7 linked regions of the Daphnia pulex genome follow. The protein of the gene in region 7 purifies or fractionates together with the protein of the main gene of each other region. This does not show direct contact. Links are inferred from orthologs where the notes say so. Each region holds a gene or a part of one and is shown on either strand. Other genes may lie near its edges. The genes, in order: sec1 family domain-containing protein 1-like, RAD50-interacting protein 1-like, vesicle transport protein USE1-like, synaptosomal-associated protein 29-like, neuroblastoma-amplified sequence-like, sec1 family domain-containing protein 2-like and syntaxin-18-like.

Region 1 (4,215 bases), on a different chromosome or scaffold from region 7:
ACCCGCGCTTGTCCTTCACCAGTCGAATAAAAAACAATTTTATATCAGAAAATCAGAAATTTTGTAAATTATAACTTACTCGAGGAGTATCATCTGCAGCATTGGTCTTCTCTTCAGATTCAGCACTCACTACGGCGATGAAACCTATAAATCAATAAAATTTAATATAGTCAGATTGATTTTTTATATTACTAAAGATTTAGAAGACAAAATCAAACTGTACCGATTACTGCAATCAAAACTAAAGTGAATTTCATTTTTTTAAAGAATGTAGTTTGTTGACGGAGACTCAAAGCTATAATTGTCCTTCTTGGGCAAATGATAGTCGAAGACTGTTTATCTTACAAACGCAACAAGCTTACCTTATATAGGAACAATTTTCAAGGGATTGATTCTTGGTCTTTAAAGCGCAACGTGTTAGATAATTGCCATTTGTGAAACGGAAAAGTTTACGGAAATAATACGTACGTGCAATAATGTAGGAAATCCTGCATAGTCATAGAGGGAAGGAGTATAATGGCATAACAAATGCTACCATTTACTTTCCATTTCAGTTTTGTCTCTCTGGACTCTCTATGTCAAGTTCCTCGGTTTAAGTAGAAAACGAAAATATAGGCCACACCGAAACAGACACGAAGATAATGAAATGGTCCCGTCTCCCGTCGGCTTATTATTCTTTGCGGTAAATAGGGTATTTGTTAAATACTTAAATTCTTTTAAAAAGAGGACACAAATACAGCTTAAATTATATTATTCATAGTTACATAAGACGCCGATTTTCGTATTCAGTGTTTCTTCAATTAGGAATTTCGTAGAATTTTTTTTATCGCATCTTAATTGAATCAAGCCATTCAGATGTCATGGATGTTAATAACATGAATAAAAATATTATTTTTCTTTTAGCTATCATTTTAAAAAGAACTTTTCTCTTTGCCTGTGATGAAATAAAAGTAAACAGGAAACAAACACTAAAGGGTGGGACACTATTTAACTCTATAGACTTTTAGGCGGCATACATTTTCCGCTCTGATTCCTTCGACAGTGAAAAAGAGGTTTATGTATCGAGGTAACAACTGAAATACTTCGAAATTGATAAAATTTAGAAGGTAAGCCAATGCGGAAATTTCTCCAATAAAGGGCAAGCGTTGACGATCACTAAAGTAAAAAGTGAAACTGATTAACTGACCTTGTTGCCTGACATTTGTTGCTTGGGAGTTAGGACTTGGCTTCCAGCTCCAGGGAGGATTCTGTTACAGAGAAAGGTGTTACAAAAACATGAAAAAGAAGGAGAACGGTTATAATATTAAAACTTTATCAAATAATACAACATCTAAATAATTTAAGCAACATTTTCGTAAAAAGAGAAAGTACCAATCAAAGTTTATGTTGCCGCCGAAAAAAGTAAAAACAGGCAGACAACCTCTTGGAAGCCATCTAGCGGAGAAGAAAAAAACAGCTGCTGACGTATCTGTTTTGACGGATCCGGATAAGTACACGATCTGACCGACATCCAAAATCCAAATATATAATATAACATAAAACAATATAACACGAGAATATTGAACAAGAAAAACCATGGGCTCTTCAATACGAGAGAGACAGATAAGTACGTCTGTTAATTGTTTTCTTTAAAGACTCAGTTTTTCATGCTATACTTTCTGTTCTTACAGATCTGTTGAAGCAAATGATAAATTTCAACCAACCTATAACTAAATCAACTATCATGGAACCATCATGGAAAATTTTGGTGTACGACAAGTATGGACAGGATATCATATCCCCCATTCTATCAGTCAAGGAATTGCAAGAACTAGGTGTGACTCTCCACGTCCAACTACACTCACCTAGAGACCCTGTTCCAGATGTGCCTGCTATTTACTTTTGCCTGCCCACTGAAGAGAACCTAGGACGAATAAGCCAAGATTTACAAAACCAGCTATATGAATCATATTACTTCAATTTTATCTCATCCATATCCCGGCAAAGATTGGAGGACTTGGCATCTGCTGCAATCAATGCTCAGAGTGTGGCCCAGATCTTAAAAGTTTGTGATCAATACCTGAATTTCATTTCTCTGGAAGATGATTTGTTTATCCTCAGAAATCAGAACAGTGACATGATATCCTACTACTGTGAGTACTACTCTTGCCCCCATTGCCACATTGTTTCCTTAAAACAAATCAAATTATAAATTTATCTTATTAATTTCAGCTATGAACAGGGGTGAAATAACAGATACAGAGATGAACAACATTTTAGATGGAATTGTGGATAGTTTATTCTCTTTATTTGCCACATTGGGTAAAAGTTGTTCTATTTTTCATTTATATGTGCATCATGTGCAAATTATTCAATGATGCAGGCACTGTTCCGGTGATTCGAAGTCCTAAAGGAAATGCAGCTGAAATGGTAGCTGAAAAACTAGACAAGAAATTAAGGGAGAGTTTGCGAGATACGAGAAGTGGTCTTTTTACTTCTGATCTAACCCAAAGTTTTGGGTATGTCTGTTTCATAGCCAAATAACCCGCCGCGCGAATTGCAGTTACAATATATTTTTTAAAATTTTTAGATTTCAGAGGCCTTTGTTGGTTCTCCTCGACCGTAACTTGGACATGGCTACACCTCTCCACCACACTTGGACTTACCAAGCCCTTGTACACGATGTTTTGGATTACACTTTAAATCGTGTGGTCGTCCAGGAACCAGAAAGTGATGCCAATCACCATCCGGATAGCCATCGGCACACCCCTTCTCACAAAGCCAAAATAAAGACTTGTGATTTGAACCCATCCGACAAATTTTGGATATCTTATAGAGGCAGTCCTTTCCCAACAGTAGCAGAATCCATCCAAGAAGAACTGGAAGATTACAAAGCATCGGAGAGTGAAGTGAAACGATTAAAAGAATCAATGGTACTGTTTCGATGAATAGAAATTTGTGGCCATTAATTTACCTTATTACGTTTTGTTTTTCAAAGGGATTAGATCCAGACGGAGAAGCCGCTATGAGTTTGATTTCCAACACAACAGCCAAGCTGACTTCAGCAGTTAGCTCTCTACCCCAGCTTCTGGAGAGGAAGCGGCTTTTAGACATGCATACAACCATAGCAACAGGTAAAATTATGTATTTTTTTAAAGGCTTCCTATGAACCACCCATAAATTGACACAAGACTAAACTTACTAACTTTCAATCTTTTAGCCATCTTGGAGCAAATCAAGCAGCGAAAATTGGACGTTTTACTAGAGGTGGAGGAGAAGGTTATGAGCAAAAACGCCTTAGATCGATCTGTCTTAGACATCATTAGTGATTCGGAGTGCGGAACTCCAGACGACAAACTCAGACTCTTTCTGGTCTATTTTATTTGTTCACCTAACATGACTGAGGTAGGGAATAAGCCTCTTTTACAATGATATTTACTTGTTATATTTATCGATTTTGTTTAGTCCGAAACTGATCAGTACGCCGCTGCACTAAAAGCTGCTGGCTGCAATTTAGCAGCTTTGCGCTATTTGAAGCGTTGGAAGTGAGTAATTTCAATCGTGGATTGTTTGACATGTTTCTAAAATTCACTATTTTCAATTAAGGTCGTGCAGCAAGATTGCGACTGGCTCTAGCCAGTACTCGGGAGGTGGAACTAGAACAGTGAACATGTTTACGAAACTTATGTCCCAAGGCTCGAATTTTGTCATGGAAGGCGTGAAGAACTTGGTTGTAAAGAAACATGTAAGCATTTTCTGGTTGAATTACTTTCAAATCAGAATTCATTTGATGAAAATATTTTTCAACAGAATTTACCAGTTACACGGATTGTTGATCACTTGATGGAACTGAAACCCTCTCCAGAAACCGACGATTACCGTTATTTTGATCCAAAGCTTTTGAAACCTAGTGAGGGCGGTAGTACTGCTCCTCTTAAGAGTCGTGCCCAATTCCAAGATGCTATTGTATTCATGGTGGGTGGAGGGACATATGCCGAGTATCAAAATCTGGTCGACTATGCTAAAGTATTGAATCTTTTCTCTCTTTCTTTTTAAAATTTGAAGTTATTTAATTACTTTTTACTTTTCCAGTCGAAAACAGTGGGAGGTAACGCAAAGAAAATTGTCTATGGTTGTTCCACTTTAAATAACGGAAATCAATTCTTGAAACAGGTACTGAAAAAACTCTTAAAGAAAAACTCGTAATCCAAATATTATTATACTTTTTCTTTAACT
Region 2 (4,213 bases), on a different chromosome or scaffold from region 7:
AAAAAGCGGTATCAGATTCTGCTGGATGTCGAAGCAAAGTTGAGAAGCGCCTCCTTCATTAAACTGCCGCTGTAGGATCAGCTCTTCCAAGAGGAACTAGAATTAATGTTTGATTCGTTAAAATTTCTGATTGAATAAAAACAGGCACAGTCATTTCATACGTCGTTCACTTGAGAGGCCAATTTCTGCCACGCTTCGACAAACATAGTAGATGCCAGGGAATCCTTAAGCCACAACAAGCCAATCGCTACTGCCTGGAGCATTGCAGATCCTATTTATTATAGAACAAAGACGTCAAATAATAAAACGGATTATCAAATAAAAACTACGAATCTAAATACTGACCTGTTGGCGATAGGCTGGGTTGAATGAATTCATCCGGATTGGGGAGTGATGCCCACCTACCGGACAATTCCATTTTTTATAATAAGGCAATTCAAAAAATTATTTCAATTACTTACTTGTCAAGTCTGTAGGGTTGCGATTTGGCTTTCACTTCGAGCATCACCGCCTCTACCAGACGGCGCAGCAAATCTTCCTGCATTCTCTTTAAAAGCTCAATGATGCTGTCAAATACCGATCCTGTTGATGATCAAATTCGGAATAATGTTTTGTTCGGAAAAATAATATTGAAAAGACTATTTGTTTACCTTCTTCGTCTCGATTAGTATGAGCTTGAGTACGAAGCCAAGGAAGCGAGGCCTCATCATTGCTAATAGCTTCTGCAGCTAAACGTTCAATATTTTCCGTCTGGACTTTATAACTATGCAGTTGAACGAAGAACTTGCATCACAAAAGAGAAACATAAACGATTATTATACGATAATTCATAATTTGGATAAATTATTACCGGCAAATCAGTCCAGTCATCTAGAACATTAATAACAGCCGTCAGCGTGTTCAGGATAGGGCTGATATTGGGCGATGATCGATTGGCGAATAATTCGTGAAATTTGTCTTGACGGGCTAACTGTAGCAACCGAATACGGAACTCGTCCAGCAGTTCAAGCTGTAAATCCAAAAACTGCAACTTATGACCGGGTTGGGGTAAGATCTTGTAACGATCCGTAATGGCCAGCAGCATTTGGAGAAATCCTTCGCCACACTCAGTTAATCGAACTTCGTCTTCTGCCTCGGAATTGTCTCCAGAGACGCAAGTCCAGGCTTTATCGCTAATCAAAAGGATGTCCATTTTTTCTACGGCGACTATGAATGAAACAGAATGATTGAAGTTTAAGTAGAATGCGAGGAAATTCTCATTAGTCAACTTACAAGCTCTTTCTAAGGCAATCCATCGAGTAAAAAACTGGGGCTGAGAGAGAACAAGTAAAGCTGACGGCTGTGAGGATGGGTAGTTGTAAGAGGATCGAAGTTCACTCTCAAAGCTGAGTACTTCACCGATAGTGTGTGCCAAAATGGTTTCATCCTCAAGGATAACCGGTGTGTCCTTTACTAGTTTCTCGACAGCAAGTTGAACGAGTCCTCGTGAAAAATCCGTTAAAGCATCATTAGGTGCATACAAGGGTTGAACGTTTGTTTCGAGGAATTTAGCGTGATCTCCAATCCACTGAAGAATCTGGCGCATATACCACTCGGGTTTGTCACGACGGTTGGTTGGTCGATTACCACCAAAATGATATAAAAATCTTTTCAATAGAGGATATATTAATTCTTGGATGGCTAGGCTGGAAGGAGTAAATCTAGACAAAATCACATGATCTGCCACACTTGGATCTTCCAACCTGAAAGAAATAAAGAATTCAAAATGTATCCGCAAACTTGTACTTGGGCCAGTGTAGAACTGACTGTTTGGATGGGATTTCCAGTTTGCCAAGGCACTGAAATTGTAACTGAAACTTGCTCATCACATCAGGTGGAGGGACAGTTTTTAAAACCTCCTGGTTCGTTGAAATCAAAGGCCACTGTATCAGTTTAAGAGTATCTTGCATTTCCCTGTTTTTCAAAAGAACATTTTTTAACGTGTATAATAAATCTTTAATTGAAATGGGCTATACTTTTTTAGTTTTTCCTTGATCATCTCAAACCAGAAAATTACAGTATCATTAACAAACTTTTTTAGATTTTCACACTGAGATGTTTCCAGCATGCAGTTGTGTTGTACGAGTTTGTTGTACAACTCAACAGCTTCCAAATCTAGGTTAGACTGTAAACTCTGTCGGATTTTCTCACTAATATCATAAGTGATGAAACATGATTAATACTTTATGATGGGGTTTATATGTTTATTAAATTGAATACCTTAGATCTTCCACAGTTTTGATGCATTTCAGGTAGGAATATTCCAGTTCAAGTCTTTCTATTTCTTGTAGTTGACTGCTGAAATTTCCTAGAAATGTGTCGACAGATGTTAAGTGTGATTGGGCTTCAACTTTCAAGTCCAAGTATTGTTTTTCAAGAGTCACTAGTTTTTTTGAGAGCTCTTCAACCTCCCTCAAGGTGTTTTGAACTTTTGTTGGAGCTTCTGTGCTAACTAATGAAAGCTGAAAATAGATAAATATTAGATAAATAGATGTTGGAAAAACAGGTGAAGCAAGATTATTTTACTTTCTCTTTCAGATCATTTTGTATGGTTTTGGTTTCATCATACAGTTCTTTGAGTTTGTGAAGTTGTTTTAAATCTGATCCAATTTCTTCATTGAGTGCTTTTACAATTTTTCTTTGCAAATCCGGGTTTTCCTCCGTCATCTCAATAAATATGTGTAATTTATTAAGTTTGTTTACACAACTTGTTTGCTGCTCACTGGCTGCCACAGCCACACTACAATTTGCTATTGAAAACTGTCTGCTTGTTTATGTGTCAGAATAAATCGCGAGGTTGCAAGATAAATTGAACACAACTCATTAACTCATAATTCATAGTCATAAGCAGAGAATAAGCGGAAATCCATGAAAATCCAGTAGCTGATGAAAATTATGAATAATTATGCTTTTTACTCTCTTACTTTGTCATAACTTATGATCGAGCGAGACGAGACTGAAAGTCCGAAACAATCACTCTACCAAAACACTTTTCGATAATAGAATGAATTCAAATTTAGTGTATTTAAAAATCATTTAAATTTACCGTAATAACCGTATCATACAGTTTGAAAATGAAAAATGTAGCAACAATTACAGTCTAGTTTTCTTCTATATCCTTTGTTGAAATTGAGGTGCGCCCTAAATTAACGATGTTTTCAAAAAACGGGTTTAAAGGGTACGTGAGAATTCCCTTGTCCAATGAATAGTTAAAAAACTCGAGGAGGTTGTCTGATCGTAAGGTTACTTTAAGGTCGCACTTAAGTTTCGAAGTCGTCCGGGTACCGGAGAACTTGGACGAAGACTAAGCAATAGAAAATAAAAAATTAGGCGTGAACTGGATCTAGAAAGAGAAACAAAATTTTACCGAAACAGTGAATTTGGTTATGACAGGATCCTTCTCAGGATAGAAATGCTCAGAATAGTATTCATCTTTTCTTTTCTTCCATGGTCTATCTTCATCTTCTATGTCTTCTTTTAAATCTGCAATCAAACAACAAGAATTATGTCTCAAAAAATTGGCTTCCAGAATAATGACAAATTACCCGAATGAGATTCTTTCATCTCGACGTCTGCATCGATTGGATGTGTAGTTTTGACAGGTCTTCTACAGATCTTTCCTTTGCTAATCTTGTTTAAATGCAGTTGTCTTAGGGAACGGAAATCATTGCCTTCAAGAGGAAGTATTCTCAATCGAGTTGCTCCATACACTTTGATCAGGGTGTCGGCGATCATATCAGGGATGGATTTTTTAATGCAATAGAAAACAGTTTCATTTGGAAAAACCACAAAATAGAATGGGGGCTTAAATCGGGAGTTTGCAAGTTTTTCTTTGGCATTTAGGGCAGACGTATATGTTATTCTACAAAATATAGCACCTTTTTGACCTTGGCACACTATGCACTGCAAATGTAATAATTGCTTGTCAATTTAAACATTAATAGGAAAGGTTATCACTGTTTGTCTTACTGGTAATCGTACTTTGGTTTCCATGACCGAAAGCAGTGATTCTTGTAACTGGGTAGCAGACTCCATATTTTGCATCATATTCTCATCTGCATTAATGATTGCAAATCCCTTCCATTTCTCTCGATCTCTATTCGCTGGTTTCGCTACAAAAGCTAAATTCAAATCATTAGAGCAAGACTGATTCCATTTTAACTTTATTTCTGGA
Region 3 (2,874 bases), on a different chromosome or scaffold from region 7:
ACAGAGCGTTACCAGTGATGGTCAAGTAGCTGTTGACGACGAAGAATTGGGACAAGCCCAAGCTGGACGGGGTTAGATAATACTTGTTTTCAAACAACAACTTTTCGTTTTCTTTCCAACGGGGCTACTTATGGCGTATATATATCGGGATTTCTAGACTACGTCGATATGTACAATTTTAAAAAAATGTACTAAGCCTCCCTTGTTGCCTCGTTTTATTTTTAACTTCTTTTTGTTTATGGGACTCGAAGCCTTCAATAAAGTCGATATAACTTCATTTCAATTAGGTTTAGATTTAGATTAACTGAGACAAATTGGGACAACTAACTGTGCTAATTGTGATGTGAATAGCAAAATATTATGATTTAAAAACAAAAAATCCAAAATACATTAATTGTAGTTGTATTCTCAAAGTAAGGGCACCAGTGGTTGATGAATCCTATTTAAGAACTTTTAAGTTTTAACCTTGTTTAATTTTTAGTATGTGTGATGTTCTTTTATACTTAGGATGTCTTCTTTTTCTTGAACAACCGCATGAAGACAATCATGGCTAGATAATAGAAAAAATTAACATCAAATGAACCTCAACATTACAATGAAGCAATAGATTACCTATGAAAGACATGCAGACAAGCAATAAAAACAACCAAACCCAGCAACGGGTACAGAATCCACTTCTCTCTTGAAGCTTTTGTGTTTGAGTCTGAAGGTTTGTCTGATTTTCTTCAGCCAGAATGTTGGCCTTTTCCAGTGTAATTAAGTCCTGTCTGATAATTGAGTTTGCAGACATGGTTTGCTCTTTCATGGTTTTAGCCATGGTAAGCAAATTATTTGTGATTTCTTCTTGGGTTTGCTGCTCATTACTAATCACTCCATCAAAATCCTGCACATGAGTAGGAGTGGTGTTTGTTTTTATGGTGCTCAGTAATTCAGTTTTTCTTTGCCTTAATGTTGAAGCAGGATTTTCAAATTCTTCATTTTTTTCTGTTGAGACAGACTCATTTGCTGGAAGTAATTTATTGGTCAGCAACTCATCCCTAACTTGATTGCTATACTGAGATGCAACTTTATGTCGGATTTCCTTTGAAACTGTGTCTCCGTATGGAGAAGAACAAGGGGACAAAAACTGAGAAGCAACAACTTTATCTGTAACAGAAGGCTGGAAAATTTTTATAAGTTAAGTTATGAGAAAATATGTAATGATGATGTAATTACCAGCTTTTCAGTGATGGTAAGACCTTTCAAAAAAGCAACAGATTTTGTGTAATCATCTAGAACATCCTTATTTGGTGGCATTGGACATTTCTTCAATTCTGTCAGCTGTTCTTCAAGTGTAATGATATACTATTAAACAGGAGGCAAGACAAATTAAAGCGATCCAGCTTCAGTTATTGTCGGTGGAAAAACTTATTACCATTGAAGAAGTAAGTCTACCTTCTCAAATCTCCATTCAGTGTGCTTTCCATTGTTGGCAATCGTTTTACACTGTTCTAAAAGTCGGATAAAGTTTGTTTCCAATCGAGTTCGGGTCATTTTTAGTAGCTATTAGCTAACGGATTAAATTCCCCTAAAATTAAACCCAAAATGCAGCAATTTAGAGCGACGAGCACCTAGCCACCTAGACAGTTGACGTAAACATTGTGTTGTGAAGAGCACGATGAATAATACAGGCCGCCCGGTGCGAGCTACTTTTTCTGACATGGCAATTGGCGCTCGATCTTCGATGCGTCGATTCTCCAAAACATTTTGCTGCTGGCCGACCATGCTATTGGTATTGGGCTGGCCTTCGCTTGTAGGAAAATTCGGCAAACTGCTGTCTGCTATTTATTTTCAAAAGAAAATAGAAACCATTGCCGGAATTATTACACATAGAAGTTGATTAATAAGTAAATCTGATGATGTGGAAATCACGTTCCATTCGCCATGCTTTTAAAATGTGCAGATGCAAATCCTATAAACATGTGTTTTGGTAAGTAATTTTTTTTACTCAAGAAATAATACTATTCTTTCTGAGAAGGAGCATCACACTGATTTGCCTTTATTTCTTATTTGTCTAGGAAGAGACAAATATTTCTTTTGCCAGAGCACATGAGTCTCCAACAAAGTTTTCAACACTATTCCAGTAAATCTAAATCTGAAATTGACCTAACCTTATTCCCTGTCGAGAGGATCAGAAATTTTTCAATCATAGCTCATATTGATCATGGGAAGAGTACTCTTGCAGATAGGCTATTAGAATTAACAGGTTTACAATATTCATCATTATTTGACTGAATACAGTTCTGTAATTGTCTCTTCATTTTCAGGAACAATTAGCAAAGGAGGTCATGAAGCCCAAATGCTTGATCGTTTGCAAGTAGAAAGGGAGAGAGGCATTACAGTGAAAGCTCAAACTGCCACATTAGTATATAATTATCAAGGAAATGACTATTTGCTGAATTTAATCGATACACCGGGGCACGTCGATTTCTCCTTTGAAGTATCACGGTCATTGGCAGCTTGCCAGGGGGTTATTCTTTTAGTTGATGCAAATCAAGGAGTTCAAGCTCAGACAGTTGCAAATTTTTTCCTTGCTTTTTCTCAAAATCTGGCAATAGTTCCTGTCATGAATAAAATTGACCTGAAAAATGCTGACCCCGAGAGCGTAGCTACTCAAATGAAAAATGTGTTTGAATTTGAACCGAAGAATATCTTACGTGTAACATAAAATTTATCTCTTTTTATTTCATTACATATAAAATTCATTGCTTAATTTTCTTTCCAGATTTCAGCTAAAACAGGCCTTAACGTAGACGCGGTACTTCAGTCCATTGTAGAACGTATTCCTCCTCCGAAACATTGTAATATAAATAAGCCTTTTCGAGCTTTACTGTT
Region 4 (2,955 bases), on a different chromosome or scaffold from region 7:
AATGTGCGGCCAATTCCCCTTTTTCCACATTTCAAGGTGCTACGTTTGCGGTTTGTATGAACTGGAACTCCGACCAATGGTCTTCTGTTGTAAAACGGAAACAGAAAACAGTCGCCAAACGAAGACAATGGCAATTTAGTGTGCGGCTAAAATCAACAAATGAACCGTAATAACAGCTGGTGCAGACATCCGCAAAGACAAGCTGGCCCATCAGGACATTGTGTGGATATGTTCTTGTCAACTAAAACAAGTTTCTCAAAACGAAAAAAAAAATTGCCATTCATACCGTCCGGCTCGTTTCGTTCTCATGATCATCGAATCGTGAAACAGGCAATAACACGATCACCACGTCCGCTCATCTTTCCACAACATCTGCAAAATTCCTTGCGGATGATTAAACACTCTCAGGAAAAAATTTTCATATACTAATAAAATACCTAGTAAACTTATCCCCAATTGAATTCATGCAAATAATCATTTTTTTCTTTCTTTTTATCAGACCGTGTTTCACCTAAATGTATTATTCCATGAATATATAATATATATACACACTGGGAGTGTGCTGGCAATTTACCTTGGTGCGCAAAAAGAGGGGGACAGATTTTCTTATTTAAAACAAAAAGAGTTTTTTTTTCTTCATTCAATTCTAATTCTTTGTGTATCACAAGTTGGAAACAACATGGACTCGTGGGGTTTTCACTTTTTCAGAAGACGTTCCATATCTTTATTTTGACGCTGGATTCTCCAGTCAGCCTTGTCGGCACCAGTCTGCAACCGATCGATCAACGTGTTCTGATCTTCCAGTTCAGTCGACAATCCCTGGGCGAGACCTTTCAGACGGGACAGGGACAAACTCATGTCACCCAGATCTTGCTCTAGCTGCTCGTCGACATTGGAAAGAGGTTTGTGACTAAAATCATTTTCAAGTCCTTTAATCCTCAATGCTGGGTGCTGTTGCTGTGATGGTGAGTCTCGGTCAATCGGTGATGATGTTTGCTCAAGTACCTTGGAAAGATTGCTACTACTACTACTGGAACTAGGCTTTAACAAAGACCCTTCAGAAGAGTTTTTGAGTGGCTCTGAAGGCTTAGAAAAGTAGTTCTTCATACTGCTAAACACACTCTAAAAATCAATGAAATCTGTGTTAAGGAAAAAACAACCAACCAATGCTATAAAATATAGATAGACTACCTTGATATTCTGTATGTGTCTCTCTGAAGTCCTCAATGAATTATTCATTTCATCCAGTCGGCTCCCAGTTCTCTCTAACTGTTCCCTCTGCCTTACCAAGTCCTGGTTGGGTATTTTCAAGGGGAAAATGAATCAAGTTTTAAGTGGTTTTCTAATGTAAGCTTATGTGCAAACCTCAGCGGTGGAGATTCCAATCTGCTCAGTCTCATACAACATTCCTTTAGCTCGCCCTGAAGCCTGCAAAGTACGTTCTTCTATTTTCTGTTTCTCCATAAGAAGTTGTCGTCTACGTTCATCGGCGCTCTGATTTTCTCCTCCGTCCAGAGGTTGGAAACTGTTATTTCCGCCCGACAAACTATTGGCTAATTTTCCTCCAAAGTTATTGAACCTATTGGGTGCCCTTTGTAGAAATTCTTCGTCGTCCACGTCGTCTTCATCGTCAAAAAATGGATTTGAACCTTTAGACTTGACGTAACGCCCACTGGATCCAGCCATAGTTTTTTCGACACTAATACACTTTTCCTTGTATGTATTATTTGTTGCTCACTCACTTTCGCATGCCCTCCGAAGCTGTCAAGGCCTTTAAAGAGACTGCCGAGAGTCGTAACCAAGGTTTGATGTCTTCCCTCTAGCGACGACAAAAGTAATGATTTAATAAAATTGTAAGTAACATAAATCAAATCAATTAAAACATATTATTATTTTTAAGTTCATTTAAAAATTTCAAAAAATAATTCTCTATTATTATTCATTCATATGAATCAGTAATATTTAATAAAATTAGCTAATTTAAGGAATGTTGCGAGGCTTCACCAGGCTGAGGGAACAGCCCACCTCTTTCTCGTCATAGCAGCCCTTCTTACTTACTTCACTTGTTTTCCCGTGATCAAAATATCTACGTGTGAAGTCACGCAACTGTCCTTAGAACGTGTCAGTATCATGAGTGCCTTATTTCCTGATAAAATAATTGCGAAATATTTGAAATAATCAATGGCCACTCGTCACGAGCCATTATCACTTCAAGTGATAACATCTCCGTTCCTTCGCAACGTCGAAACAGCCCATGATGGCAGTGCAACAACTGTGGAAAGACGTACATTTCGAAAAAGTCTTGAAAGACTTGAACGAATCAATATGATTGATTTAGAACCCTTTAGTTCTGAATCAGTCTACCGTCAGCCTTCATGTGAACAGGGTCCTAGTGGAGATAGGAAGCTAGCAAAACGACAAAACAGGCTCAGCAGAGAGATCCTTGGAGTTGATGATGCAGTGTTATCAGCTCCTGACATTGCCCAGTTCCAATCTCAGGAAAGACAGCTTCTTACAAAGAACCAATCAATGAATGGTTCCCTTAATCAAACCGATGTTGATGATGATGTCAGCAGTGTTATTTATGGTGGATCAATAGCATCAACAGTCCCCGACAGATATGGTTTCTTTGGAGGATCTCAGTTCAGTCATGACACTGAAATGTAAGTTTTATTTGTTTCCCTTGAATCCCCTATTAGTTTAACACTATTGTATTTGCTTATTTTGAATTCAATTTAGAAACCCAGCAATGATTGCCATTTTTCGCAAAAGAGAGCTGAAGTGGTTAAACATGTTAGATGATTGGGAAAAGTATATGACATACAAATACAAAAAGGTTTGGCAATATCTTTTATTTTTCTTGTCTTTCATGTTTCTATTAACACCCAATTATTTGTAATCAACAGGTAAGAGACAGGTGTAGGAAAGGAATACCCAGTTCTATCCGTCCCAGAG
Region 5 (3,500 bases), on a different chromosome or scaffold from region 7:
CCTCAAACGTTCCAAATGCTCCGCCCACTTTTCCATGCGGGCCTGGTAGTCGTCCGAGACTAGAGCGTCGCTGGAAGCTTTGCTTTTGCCGCGCTCTTTGGCGATTTTCAGACATCGACGACAAATTTCTGTCCGGATATCAAGCGTCAGCAAGTCCAAGGCACGATCGGAGAAGCAAAGGCCATCGACAAGGTTTAAGAACTCTTCTGAATTTAGCTTGGTGACGTGAGTCTTGCAACTTTCAAATCGATCAAGCCAATCGGAGACCGCCACACTTTTGCCTTCATCGGCCAACGCGAAAAAATATTTCCGAATCCAGATTGAATGCACGGTAGCCTGGCTTACGCCCGGCGACATTCCTTTGACCGAAGACGATATCAGTTGTGCGAGCTTGGCTAGTTTGCCAACGTTTTCCGCAGTGGCGACGCTCTCAATCTCTTGCACAAAACCTTGAACGGATCGCGTCAGCTTTTTCACGTCAACACCCTTAATCGATTCCAGCTTACGCAGAATTTGAACGTATACAGGAGCGGGGGGCTCCGTGAATGCAGCAGTCGTTGGGTTCGAATTGAGTAACTGGAAGAAAAGGACTAGCCGACCATAATCTCGACCCGAAATACTCGGATAGATTACGTCCACCATCTTCGCCCCGAGTGTTTGTGGGTCATTGAATAAGATGTCGCGTATGCGGTATTCGTCCATGTGTTTCACGATATAGCTTGGAGCAATCTTCTCTTCAGCGAACACAGCTGCCAGATGAGAAAATGTCACTTCCCATTCAGAAACGCCATAATGTGCTGCCAAGCGTACGGCTGCTGAATAGACGCCGGAATCAGTTGTGATGGCAAGACCTACAATTGTATCTCGCTTGTAGATATCGTCCGTCGTGAATCGATTAATATCGACTCCTCCGTCCAATCGACGTAGTTGCTGCGCTTCAGACACATCGGCTAGAAGTCGTAGAGCTCGTTTAAGAAGGTTGCGGCACACAACCTGATCTTTCGACAAACCTGTCTCGGGAAGGGTCAGGCAACGATGGATCAGAGTGCGCGGACGGGCGGTGACCATGTTGGCATCAGCACCCAAGGATTCGTCCTGAGAGAAACGCATCATGCGTAGAGAGAAATAATAGGCAGCCATCTGCAGAGTGATCTCTGTGCTGGGTAAACGCGTTAAAGGCTCCCATGCTTCTTCGGTCGCCTCTAGATCCAATAGATGGCCCAAGGCCAGCAAACAATCAGAAGGAAATAGACATTCGGCTAACTTGGATAATATGTCGTCTCTTGAACGGCTTTTGACGTAAGGTTTTTCCAGGCTGTCCAGCACCAGCATTCGCCAGGACCACATGAGAAGATTAAGTTCACTATTGACCATCTCGGGCAGAGAAAAAAGCCGATAGGAAGCACCCAATTGACTCTCGTGAAGTTCTATCCTTTTGTTGCACCAGACGTCCCAATAGAACACGGATAAGCCCCAACGGATGCATTCTTTATTATCTTCTGATGTTCTAGGGGTGGGCGTTTTTCTTGCTCCATTTTCTGCTGGCCGAGCTTCTTTTAGTTTCAAGCTGCTCTTGACGACATTCACCAATTGCTTTGTCGTTTCCGCAGTTGTCTGCAACACCTGCTTCGACACGCTTCCACCACTGGTAGTTGTGGTAGTTGGAATCTGATTATTTTTATCCATCTCTTGACGATAGTCTTCGACTGATTTTGGATACACCAACTTCAAGAAATTATCATTGCCGTTTTCGTAATCCATGTACATTTTAATTTGTTTTTTGCATTCCTGTTCAAGTTGTTTTTGTTCCAACTTCCATTGCAATTGTAGCAATTCTTCGATGCATTCAGCTGGGCAATAGACTAAAGAGAAGGAGATGAATTCTATCCTCATACTCAAATCGGTCACTTCATCAAGCTTGGCTAGTTGGCTGCAGACCTTCCATCCGACTGCATGATTGGCTAAACGAAGTTTTCCACACATTTGGCCAGCTACTTCAAGATCTTGTTTTATGATTGCCGTTTCAGCAATTCGGACATATATATGCCCTTCTAGTTCTTTTCGACGATCTTCATTATTAGTTAACGAACTTCCTTTGCAAGCTCTGAGTAGATGTCCAAGTCGGAGGAGTCTAGACGAGTTCTTGTAAGCTTTGTTAGCTTGTTTCAAAACTTGATCAATGAGAAAAAGGCGATTTCGCGACAACCTTATCTTGAGCGGTGGCATATCCAATCCATAATCGTACAGAAGCTGAATAGCGCCAATTAGATCCTAGGGCGAAAAAAAAATAATAATCATAAGACATAAGTCACACTTGATAAAACAAGAAATGACAAATTAACACCTTTTCTTCTTGAATAGTTTCGTCGTCAATTGTCACTAAATTGAGACAATAGCTCGCTAAGTCTAAGCTGGGATCCGAAAGGTTTTCAGAAGAATTAATGTACTCTTCAGCTGCTTGGAGAATTAATTCTTTGCTTCGGCCAAATGGAATTTTCGACGTTGAACTGATGTGATTCTGTGATGTGTGGGAATCGATATTTGGATGAAGCTGCAGCATCAAACCAGCAGAAACGATGTTCTCCTTTTTAGCCGAAGAAAGTAAGCTACCAACGAGAATTTCGTAGCACAGTTGGGGGCTGATACAACAGAAGACTTTACGCTGCAACTCCAGCATATCTTCCAACAATTCTTTCCATCGATTTTCGGTCGATGGATCGCCCTTTCTTAAAGCCGTCCTGGTCAAACGGACGAAAAGTTGTTCAAGCTGCTCCACATCGTTCTGCTTGGCCAATATAGTCGCAGGTGTTATGGCCACGTCGTGATTTTCGAGAATGTCAGCTGCCTCTAAATGAGATTGGAGCTGATCCAACTGATCGTGTAGATGGGTTAGTAGCGGATCTGCTTTGGAGCCAGTTGGTCGCTCAGGTAAGCAATCGTAAATTTTCATGGCCACTTCAAGTTGGTCGTTCTTCTGGCAGGCGTAGATGCATTCCAGAGCTAGCGATATCAAGAAACTTGCGTCGACGACAATCGGGCTGGCCTGATCCGTCTTCGAATTGGCACAAACCTGCAGTGCCCAGTCCAGATTTTCTTGACTCCTGACTACGAGTAGGCCGCGTAATAGCTCCTTGATACGACCAGGCTGTAGAGTATCCAGGCGACGTAAATAAGGCATCAACCAACGATGAAGTTTCGGTAAAAAAGAATCAACATCACAGCCACCCATGATTAGTTGACAAACGCTCAGCTCGCTCATGGCGTCGAGCCTTTCCAAGTTGAGGTGTTCTTGCTGGAGGTCGTAGACAAGTGTTTCCAGCGTCAATAACTGATGATGGATGCGTTCCAAGTGAGGCACGTTTCTTTCTAGGCCAAGTTTGATGAAATCCAACGCGTTCTCCACCAACATGCTGTCAAATATAACAAACGTTGTCATCAATATTATCAGTATTTATTAAAATTAAATAAAACAAACCTTTGTTTTTCGATGTCCGCAGCTC
Region 6 (4,018 bases), on a different chromosome or scaffold from region 7:
ATGCGCTCTAATTTCATCGACAGGAACGCCCACTAAAATATTATTTGTTAATATGAGCGTCTCTCCAGTTTGATATTTGCAAGTTCATTAATACCAAAATCTTGAAGCTCATCAGAGAGAATATCATTGACGATAATTTCTGCCACGAGACTCTTAAAGCGTTCCTCCAACTCAGCGGGCAATACATCTTTTCGTCTGTCACCTGCTAGAGAGTACAAGTGGACCAACAGAACCAAGATATCATCCAAAGATAAATTCATATCTTTCCTCGTCTTCAACAGCTGCAAGACCTATTTTCAATCGACATTTTCACTTTATTTAAATAAAGAGAAATTGAACGAATTTCAAGAAAAACCTGTATGAGAGGAGACGGAGATTCGTCATCTAAGCATTCAACCAGACTTTTCCGAATTCCCTCTAAATCGTCCATTCGTTTTGCTTTATCATTACTCTGAATCTGAGATAGTCCGTATCCAACCTGTAAGGGAGGAACTCATTAAACAAATGCTAATAGAATAAACCAATATTGAGGTACCTGATACAAATGAGTAAACTTTTCAATAAAATCCCAATCCTTGCTGCATTGATGAATGACATCGCCCAGATTTTTAAGATCGTTTGAATCTTCTAAGCTGTCTTTCAGAACATCCGTAAACCATTCTGTAGCCTGTTGGGAATTTTCGTGAAACAAATGATCCATCATGTCCCATCCGTCATTCCAATCTGTTTGAGGTGCTAGACAGCCAGGTGCCGTCGTCAAATCTCCTTGCGGTTTTCCACTCATGTTAATAGCTACATCACTAGAGTATTCGTGAAGCCGGTCAAGAGTATGGATGAATCGGTCGTACAAATTGTCACTAGAGAACTTGGTCGCGGATGCCAAATCAAGGAGCCGGTCAACCAAGATGACGGACACTTTATTTGTCGCCGTCTGCCAAAAATAAAAAGGGCATTGATTATTTTATAAAGAAGGATTGTTTGTCATTTCTATACTTTTCTTCGAGTTTTGGCAGCATTTAAAGCTTCAAGTTCAGTACCGATTATTCTACTGAATGGGCCCACTGTGAAAATTTCATCTTTTCCGTTGATGTGCTGTATCAGTTGATTAAGGTTGTGAACTAGCTGACGCACTTGTACTTGCGATTCTAATGGCAAATTTGCATTACTGAGATCGTTTATCGATCGCACTGTTTGTGCATCCGCCTGCTGTACATAGAATATAATAAATTGGTTTGATTATCAAAGAGTAACTATGCGACAATTATCCGTCTGTAATATATGTTGATGATTTTCAGAGACACTTTCGCTAACTCGGACCAAAGTTTTTCAACAAGGCACTCAAAGGCTATTTTAATAATAACCGAATTGCTTCAGATTTGGCTTGCTCACATCATTCAATCTCAACACAAAATTAAGTAAGAAATTTCTTACTTATATTGTTACGATTAAGAGATCTAGCCAGGTTCTCTTCATAAGCGATGATACATGGGTAATCGGGTATAGGTCACTTTTTACTTAAAGTGTTGTGCCCCACTTTGTTTCAATTTTTTAATGAGAAACTTGGTAAAAGATATCTTAATCAAAACAATTGTAGCACAAAACTGCTGTAACATTAAAACCAGATACCTTGCTAAATAGAATGAGCTGTTCATTTAGGTATCCTAAATCACTTGTGAGAAGAGGCCTTGCTAACTTTGCAGAGGGTATTAAAACTGTATCTCTGGTTGGATGAAGGGTGCTTAAAGGATAACTGAAAACTTCCACAGTATAATTCTAAAAAAAGAAGATAAAGATTTAAGAAATTTAAAATGCACAATATTTCAATGAATCGATTTTACCATGTTCCCCATCCACCCTAAAACATCGCCTTCAATCTTTTGCAATACTTCCGAGTCATTGCTCTCCCTCGAACCCCACAGAAGAAGATGATGTACAGACACATGGGCTGAAGTTATGATGACACAATATTCCAAATTGCTCTTCTTAATGAGGCTTTCTAATATATTGTAGTTTGTTCCATGCCAGGCTGTGCTGGAAATAAAGACACCTTTCTTGATATTTTTAGGTACAACCTAACAGTGGAAAAATAAAGATATAAACATATTTATGTTACATGTTCTGATAATAATATGTTGCAATGTCTCAGGCTAATTTTGTGATTACTTCGAAAGTTGAAAGTTCTTTAATGCAGCTTGCTCCAGCTTCCAGAAGAGATGGTGCACCTCCATTCCAGTGAAGACATTCACTGTATTTTAAAAATGTGGCATAGAAAGTAGAAAAACTCTTATGTTGTAAGTAAATTAAATTTGGACAATATCCTACCACGCCAACGGATCCAAAAAGACGGCTGCATTCTTCACTTTCTTTCTGGCTTCAGCCCACCACGCTTGACCAAACTCTTGCCATCTCAACATTGCAATTCGCTATAATCTTATCTTGAGAACTTTTCAACTAATGGCTGTACTAACTGTTGACAAACGCACAACAAAAGACGGTGATTGTTTGTTGTGTATTTCTGTTGCGCCGTCTGCAAATGTCAACACGACAAAACATACTAAACAGCATCCCCAACTAGTTGGAAATTTAACTTGGTAAAAACATCGATTAAATACTCCAAACAATCTACTGCCAAAATTCGCATTCACGACTGCAATAAAGCGCGTAATAATAACATTGACATCAAGCGCAACGGCTACGTTTTTGTCGAAAGTTAAACGATTACATGATTGTGGTTTGTGCGTGTTGGCCTCAAAAAACATCGATGAGTGAGAGTTGGCCTTCAGCCCTTTTTTCACATCTGAATTTGTCCTCTAAAAGTTCGGAGCTACTGTTTCATTCTTGGCATCTCAACACGTTTTCAAAATAACGCATTTGCAAGGGTGACATAGATATTTGTATATCCATCGCTAGGGTAGAATAATCATAGAAATATGTACATTCAGTCATTTCGCCTGATCACTCTCTCACAGTCTTGAAATATTCTTGAAAAATGACGCAAATGTCAATGACGAATTTCAAAAATGACGAAACAAAAAGCTTCGCTTCTTTCTATGACCTTCCAGAAACCGTAAAATATAATAGTACCGCAATTTCTAGGTAGCTCCAGTGGTAGTGTCGATTATCTTTGTATAATATTACTCATCATTTCTGGTCTTCTGTGAGTCATCGGGGAATCAGCTTTTTTTTCTTAATGACTCGACATTTGCTTTGATCCTTTATTTACTAAATCATTATTTCTCATTGGTTAAAAGTAACGATAGTTGGGTAGCGTCTGGCTATTGTTGATTCAAGTCCTGATTGAAGAAAATTGGTCGACGTTGACGTCGGTTCCGATAAGATAATATTCAATACAATATTGCGGGTCAAAGTAATTTATGTAAACAACCTCAATGAATCCAGGATGTATTATATAAGATTTAGTCCGCTTAATTTGCATTTTACGAGAAGAGCTTGAAGACGAGGTAAATAACCGATTATTCAACTGCTGTGTATTATCAAATCAAAAGTGAAACAGGAGAATTATTGTTCAAAAATTGGTCTCAGACTGATGAATAAATGGAGGTCACTCCCAAATAAACCCCAGCAGGCCTTGTGACGTCAACGATATATAACCTTAGTTAGCCTTGGGATTCGTATGCTTTTCTTTTTCAATCTCTTTTGTTGTAGTTGATTGCGGACATTTCCCCTTTTTGCTGCTGGCGGCCGATTCTGTTTCCTCCTCCTTCACGACCAAAAGTTTGTGCGTGTGACGTTTGGAGGTCGACTCCATGTAATCCGGGCTATGACGAAGTTCCGGCTTTTTTCTTATTTATGCTCTTCAGCTTTCCCTCCTCGTATCCCACCTCACCACCACCACCCGTCAGACGTCAGGTGAGTTTCAATGGGGAGAACCCAGGGAAGAGAAAACAACGTTGTTATTTAGTAACTCTGCCACTTACCAATATCGTGAAAGAAGGCCGCACACTTAAGCAGCGAACCTAGCGGATGATCTTGACAAGTTCCAACTTGTTTATGATTT
Region 7 (3,975 bases):
TTGCGAATAAATTTGGAGTCCAATTCCCATCCAGCGTAATCGTGCAAAGAGCGAAGGAAAAACCTTTTTTAGTCGGGTCAGATTTCATTCATCTAATATCCCAGTGTCCCAAATCGATTATTTAATTAAGCGTAAGAGCTCAATCGCCTTTTTCTGATCTTTTTTCAGAGGGTTAGATAACGGATCAATTTTTGTTTGGTCGCCAACGGAAAAGGAAATACAACCAAGTTTGTTTTTCGATTGACATTCCCACGATTTGCATAAAATCTTATTTTCGCCAAACAGACGCTTTCTGGCATCGACCGGCTATGAAGGAAAATTGGTTATCTGGTCCACCAAGGTAAATTTGAAGGTAAAACGAGTGAAAGACTGGATGTCTTAAATTTCTCGCAAGGTGTTTAGAACTGGGAACAGATCATGACACCTTTTACCACCATCAGGGTTTCACCACCGGTGCCCAAGCCCAAAACTCTCAAACTAAACCTGCTCAAATAAAACAAACAACAAAAGTAATATCCACCAACAACGTAAAAATAATAAAATAAACTTTCACGAGGAAGCAATGTAGACTCACCATGAAAAGAAACCTCATGGGATGCATATTCTGATGTCTGTCGAAAAAAGATATAAACTGACTGGCACTGCATGGTGCAAAACCCTCCTACAATCCTTTCGTGCCATAGTTGATATTGTCATTTAGTGAAACAGTTCACAAATAGTTACCTTTCATCAAGTACCCAACACGTTACAATTCTAGAATAAGTCAGGCGCCATATTTTTCGTACAAATACTGCAGACAAAGGGATGTTTACCTCATCAGCATGTGTGTCACTTCCAGCCTGGTGCAGATTCAATTCACCACCGAAAATGTTGGTCACAGATTTTGCAAAGGAATCACAATGAACAGTACAATCTTTAAAGTAATATCACGCTGCTCAACACAAATGAAGACGATGGATGCACACTTTCGAACATTGTTCACTGTTCAGTGAACTTGTGAAGTAATGGCAGTAATGGTGTGCTCTCGAAGACGAATAGCTCGTCGTTCATGGGAATGGCGCCAAAGAAAAAAATACATTGCAACGAACTTGGCAAACGACTGGTAGATGGCGGACTAAGTTCCACAACAAACTGACGACGAGGACGTTTGAAAAATAGAACGGCTGTTGAGTGTTGGCAGATTTTTGCTCAAAAATCATTGTCAAACGGTAAGTTAAACAAATAAATTATAAAGAATATACATTACTTATTCAAATCAAAATATTTGTTGTTGGAAACACCGATCATGATGGATATCACGTCCCTGTTCAAGGTCTCCATCAAGACGGTCCGGACACGCAATAAAGCTAGCTGAAAACTGAAGACCCAAATTGCATTTTCCCACGACCATCCAAACATTTTTCAAAATTCCAAACGAAAGCCAAAGAGATTGTCTCAAATGTGGCCAAGTTGAAAGAGTTTTAGACAGCTAGAATTGAAAAGCAATCACGCTCGTGATGTGAGTGAACGGATTAGATAAACAAAATACCGTGATATCGGCAAAAGAGATGCCTATCAATGGACTCTGAGAAAGTTGTTATAATGTATCATTGGTTGTTGAAAGATAATTGAAATCAATTAAGTTGTCGGGAAAATGAAAAGACACGAGTTTTTCAAGTTTACTTTCTTTTGGGGTTATTTCAGTGGGTAAAAAAAATATAGTGGGTGTGGAGAGGAAAGTCGTATGGTGTGAGGTAAGGGGAGTGAGAAAAGATTTTTGTCAAAGGATTAGTCAAAATGCAGTTGCGTATCGAAAATTACAGCTATTTTAGCAACCTCGAGACAAGTTTGAAAAACAAAAAAGATTCCAGACAGAAAAAGTCAAGGTAAATTTTCCTACGACCCCGTTCAAATCCACCCCCTTCTTACCCCCTTGAACGTTTCTCTTTTGTTTTTCAGTTTTACTTTTCCAGTTCCATCTTCTTTAATTGCCACTTCAGTTTCAACATTCTTCGAGGCATCGTGCTGCCAGTCTCTTTAAATATTACTCATCTATCTGCGCATCGGTGAAATTTTTAAGATTCTAAACTCTATGGATATTCCAGCTTTAACGCTGTAAAATAATGTTTCGTTCATTTTAGTTCGCTACTTCTAAACGTGGTTTTACACTTCCGTTCGTCACTAAGGAGAGAGAAAATGACAGATGCTGTAAACTCACCAGGGAAAGGTAAGACAAATATTTATAAACTTGTCCATCGTTTTTAATCAATGTCTGATGTCCCATCCAGGTTTTTTCAAACCAGTTGAGTTCTCAATTACGAGTAAACTAGATGTGAGAAGTTCCAGTTTCCACCCCATCGATCCTGTTCTGGCGTGCGGCTTAGTTCAAGGAGGATTAGTTTTCCTTCGGGGAACTAATCACTCCACACCGTTTGAGAATTGGGAGATTGAACCCGTATACAGCCGATACGAAAGGACAATTTTATCCGTCCAATGGAACGTAAGTCTGTGAATCAAATAATTGTGTCCGTGTTTCACCCCATCAAAATCGTGTGCTAAATGTTACAGTGTTAATCCTAAGTTTCTATTTTTGTTTTTCTGTTTGGCGTAAAGGTCAATGGAACTAAAGTAGCTGCTGGCTCCGATAATGGGACTGTCATTATTGTGTCTTATCCAGGCTGTGGCAAACAAACATTCCGAAGAAATGGACGATCGAATTTCCCGTTAATTTTTTGGCATCCATTTAACCGGGACATGTTGGCTAGTTATAACAGTGCGGTAAGTGAAAAAAAAAAAACAATATTCATGTGCTAACTTAGTAGTTTGTTTAAGTAATGCGGGAAGGGAGAATTTCAAATTAAAAGTCGGTGTACACGAGAAACATTCACATTAATTTATTGTTCACCAGAAATTTTAAGTTTTAAAATTGTATCTCAAGTTGGACACAAACGAGGTGATGATTGCCAATTCAGCAGCTGAAAACCTCCTCACCCACACCATCAAATCAAAATGGAACTGTCAGACCCTGGCCTGGAACTCGCACAATCAACTCGCCTTTGGTTACGACGATGGAACGTTTGAAATTCACGAAATAGAATTGAATAACAGTCAAATGAAAAGCCGAATGGTCCAGAAAATCCGTCACGATCTGGGTGATCATGACAAAGCTGTTCACCATTTTTCGCTTATGAATTCCAGGGACAATTTTTCGCTTATGAACTACCAGGGCCAAACACGAACTTTCGTATCGAGTATCGCCATTAACAAAGAATTTGAACTTTTGGCTTCAGGTGGAACAGACTTTCGAGTCAAGGTATTAGAACTACATACGTTATATTTATTGGATTTTAATAGTCGATAGACAATTATTATTGTCTAAGTTTTTAAATTTAAATGAGTCAATATTTAAACAATTTTAATTGCAGATTTGGTCATTGGGCAGTAAAGATCCTATTCTTGTGTTGGATGTCGATTCCAATTGCAGAAATTTGGTATGGAATTCTGGCATCAAAGAAGAGATGACGACAAAAACTTTTATTGCATGGTTAGACTGCCTAGATTATTTTAATCAAGTTTTAAAAGATGCAAGTTTAAATTGACATTCTAATAACCACAGCTTTTTAATTGGCTTTTATTCAGCGGATTAGAAAGTGGAAACGTTGTAATTTGGTATCCATTTGATCATGAAATTCAGACACGAAAACTTACAGGACATGATCAGATCCATCAATTAATACTTTCACCTGACGGACGCTATCTCGCAACAACAGACTATTACAAGAAAGTGATTATTTGGTCTACAAAGGTAAAATATTTTTGATAGAAATTCTTAGTTGGATCAAACGCGACTCACGTACATTCTTTTCCCGCAATTTCTTTTTTAAATGAATTTTCAGAGTTGGAAGAGCATATACATTATACCCTCATCAGAGTATATGTATCCATACATGATGACATGGGACGCGGCCAGTTGCAAGCTAGCAATTTCAGAGAGAA

The links.
Region 1: the proteins of syntaxin-18-like (region 7) and sec1 family domain-containing protein 1-like purify together in Homo sapiens (affinity purification with mass spectrometry; 5 studies listed by BioGRID and IntAct, counting the BioPlex papers as one, with this or other methods). This does not show direct contact. The link is inferred for Daphnia pulex from reciprocal best matches to the Homo sapiens genes STX18 and SCFD1.
Region 2: the proteins of syntaxin-18-like (region 7) and RAD50-interacting protein 1-like purify together in Homo sapiens (co-immunoprecipitation; 6 studies listed by BioGRID and IntAct, counting the BioPlex papers as one, with this or other methods). This does not show direct contact. The link is inferred for Daphnia pulex from reciprocal best matches to the Homo sapiens genes STX18 and RINT1.
Region 3: the proteins of syntaxin-18-like (region 7) and vesicle transport protein USE1-like purify together in Homo sapiens (co-immunoprecipitation; 4 studies listed by BioGRID and IntAct, counting the BioPlex papers as one, with this or other methods). This does not show direct contact. The link is inferred for Daphnia pulex from reciprocal best matches to the Homo sapiens genes STX18 and USE1.
Region 4: the proteins of syntaxin-18-like (region 7) and synaptosomal-associated protein 29-like purify together in Homo sapiens (affinity purification with mass spectrometry; 3 studies listed by BioGRID and IntAct, counting the BioPlex papers as one, with this or other methods). This does not show direct contact. The link is inferred for Daphnia pulex from reciprocal best matches to the Homo sapiens genes STX18 and SNAP29.
Region 5: the proteins of syntaxin-18-like (region 7) and neuroblastoma-amplified sequence-like purify together in Homo sapiens (co-immunoprecipitation; 5 studies listed by BioGRID and IntAct, counting the BioPlex papers as one, with this or other methods). This does not show direct contact. The link is inferred for Daphnia pulex from reciprocal best matches to the Homo sapiens genes STX18 and NBAS.
Region 6: the proteins of syntaxin-18-like (region 7) and sec1 family domain-containing protein 2-like purify together in Homo sapiens (co-immunoprecipitation; 3 studies listed by BioGRID and IntAct, counting the BioPlex papers as one, with this or other methods). This does not show direct contact. The link is inferred for Daphnia pulex from reciprocal best matches to the Homo sapiens genes STX18 and SCFD2.

The regions. Positions count from the first base shown.
Region 1 is NC_060019.1:10,712,662-10,716,876, forward strand, and holds the start of sec1 family domain-containing protein 1-like, read left to right. Parts: upstream 1-1,415; 5' UTR 1,416-1,575; coding exon 1,576-1,606; intron 1,607-1,670; coding exon 1,671-2,132; intron 2,133-2,211; coding exon 2,212-2,301; intron 2,302-2,362; coding exon 2,363-2,498; intron 2,499-2,569; coding exon 2,570-2,912; intron 2,913-2,977; coding exon 2,978-3,113; intron 3,114-3,199; coding exon 3,200-3,384; intron 3,385-3,444; coding exon 3,445-3,524; intron 3,525-3,585; coding exon 3,586-3,724; intron 3,725-3,789; coding exon 3,790-4,005; intron 4,006-4,071; coding exon 4,072-4,152; intron 4,153-4,215. Other genes in the region: tol-Pal system protein TolA-like, read right to left, coding at 1-13, 80-144, 224-257. UniProt on the Homo sapiens protein: Plays a role in SNARE-pin assembly and Golgi-to-ER retrograde transport via its interaction with COG4. Involved in vesicular transport between the endoplasmic reticulum and the Golgi.
Region 2 is NC_060023.1:2,168,669-2,172,881, forward strand, and holds the start of RAD50-interacting protein 1-like, read right to left. Parts: upstream 2,801-4,213; 5' UTR 2,707-2,800; coding exon 2,566-2,706; intron 2,502-2,565; coding exon 2,260-2,501; intron 2,190-2,259; coding exon 2,016-2,189; intron 1,954-2,015; coding exon 1,807-1,953; intron 1,743-1,806; coding exon 1,273-1,742; intron 1,207-1,272; coding exon 851-1,206; intron 784-850; coding exon 651-783; intron 583-650; coding exon 462-582; intron 402-461; coding exon 346-401; intron 272-345; coding exon 162-271; intron 97-161; coding exon 1-96. Other genes in the region: uncharacterized protein LOC124197333, read right to left, coding at 3,140-3,343, 3,407-3,522, 3,585-3,942, 4,009-4,160. UniProt on the Homo sapiens protein: Involved in regulation of membrane traffic between the Golgi and the endoplasmic reticulum (ER); the function is proposed to depend on its association in the NRZ complex which is believed to play a role in SNARE assembly at the ER.
Region 3 is NC_060018.1:697,881-700,754, forward strand, and holds vesicle transport protein USE1-like, read right to left. Parts: upstream 1,626-2,874; 5' UTR 1,534-1,625; coding exon 1,435-1,533; exon of another isoform or gene 1,418-1,434; coding exon of another isoform or gene 1,415-1,417; intron 1,345-1,414; coding exon 1,216-1,344; intron 1,160-1,215; coding exon 551-1,159; coding exon of another isoform or gene 504-550; 3' UTR 501-503; downstream 1-500. Other genes in the region: ATP-dependent Clp protease ATP-binding subunit clpX-like, mitochondrial, read left to right, coding at 5-76; translation factor Guf1, mitochondrial-like, read left to right, coding at 1,896-1,969, 2,058-2,245, 2,307-2,698, 2,765-2,874.
Region 4 is NC_060025.1:1,294,317-1,297,271, reverse strand, and holds synaptosomal-associated protein 29-like, read right to left. Parts: upstream 1,806-2,955; 5' UTR 1,687-1,805; coding exon 1,366-1,686; exon of another isoform or gene 1,294-1,365; coding exon 1,192-1,293; exon of another isoform or gene 1,123-1,191; coding exon 697-1,122; 3' UTR 501-696; downstream 1-500. Other genes in the region: TBC1 domain family member 10A-like, read left to right, coding at 2,182-2,663, 2,740-2,836, 2,907-2,955. UniProt on the Homo sapiens protein: SNAREs, soluble N-ethylmaleimide-sensitive factor-attachment protein receptors, are essential proteins for fusion of cellular membranes.
Region 5 is NC_060028.1:6,573,763-6,577,262, reverse strand, and holds part of neuroblastoma-amplified sequence-like, read right to left. Parts: coding exon 3,476-3,500; intron 3,411-3,475; coding exon 2,345-3,410; intron 2,272-2,344; coding exon 1-2,271. UniProt on the Homo sapiens protein: Involved in Golgi-to-endoplasmic reticulum (ER) retrograde transport; the function is proposed to depend on its association in the NRZ complex which is believed to play a role in SNARE assembly at the ER. Required for normal embryonic development.
Region 6 is NC_060017.1:7,886,077-7,890,094, reverse strand, and holds the start of sec1 family domain-containing protein 2-like, read right to left. Parts: upstream 2,801-4,018; 5' UTR 2,415-2,800; coding exon 2,323-2,414; intron 2,246-2,322; coding exon 2,164-2,245; intron 2,073-2,163; coding exon 1,839-2,072; intron 1,774-1,838; coding exon 1,627-1,773; intron 1,207-1,626; coding exon 994-1,206; intron 932-993; coding exon 536-931; intron 479-535; coding exon 356-478; intron 291-355; coding exon 95-290; intron 33-94; coding exon 1-32. UniProt on the Homo sapiens protein: May be involved in protein transport.
Region 7 is NC_060027.1:1,471,757-1,475,731, reverse strand, and holds the start of syntaxin-18-like, read left to right. Parts: upstream 1-1,175; 5' UTR 1,176-1,208; intron 1,209-1,918; exon of another isoform or gene 1,919-2,045; intron 2,046-2,120; exon of another isoform or gene 2,121-2,175; coding exon of another isoform or gene 2,176-2,206; intron 2,207-2,267; coding exon of another isoform or gene 2,268-2,479; intron 2,480-2,592; coding exon of another isoform or gene 2,593-2,757; intron 2,758-2,917; coding exon of another isoform or gene 2,918-3,292; intron 3,293-3,404; coding exon of another isoform or gene 3,405-3,523; intron 3,524-3,618; coding exon of another isoform or gene 3,619-3,784; intron 3,785-3,875; coding exon of another isoform or gene 3,876-3,975. Other genes in the region: F-box-like/WD repeat-containing protein TBL1X, read left to right, coding at 2,176-2,206, 2,268-2,479, 2,593-2,757, 2,918-3,292, 3,405-3,523, 3,619-3,784, 3,876-3,975. UniProt on the Homo sapiens protein: Syntaxin that may be involved in targeting and fusion of Golgi-derived retrograde transport vesicles with the ER.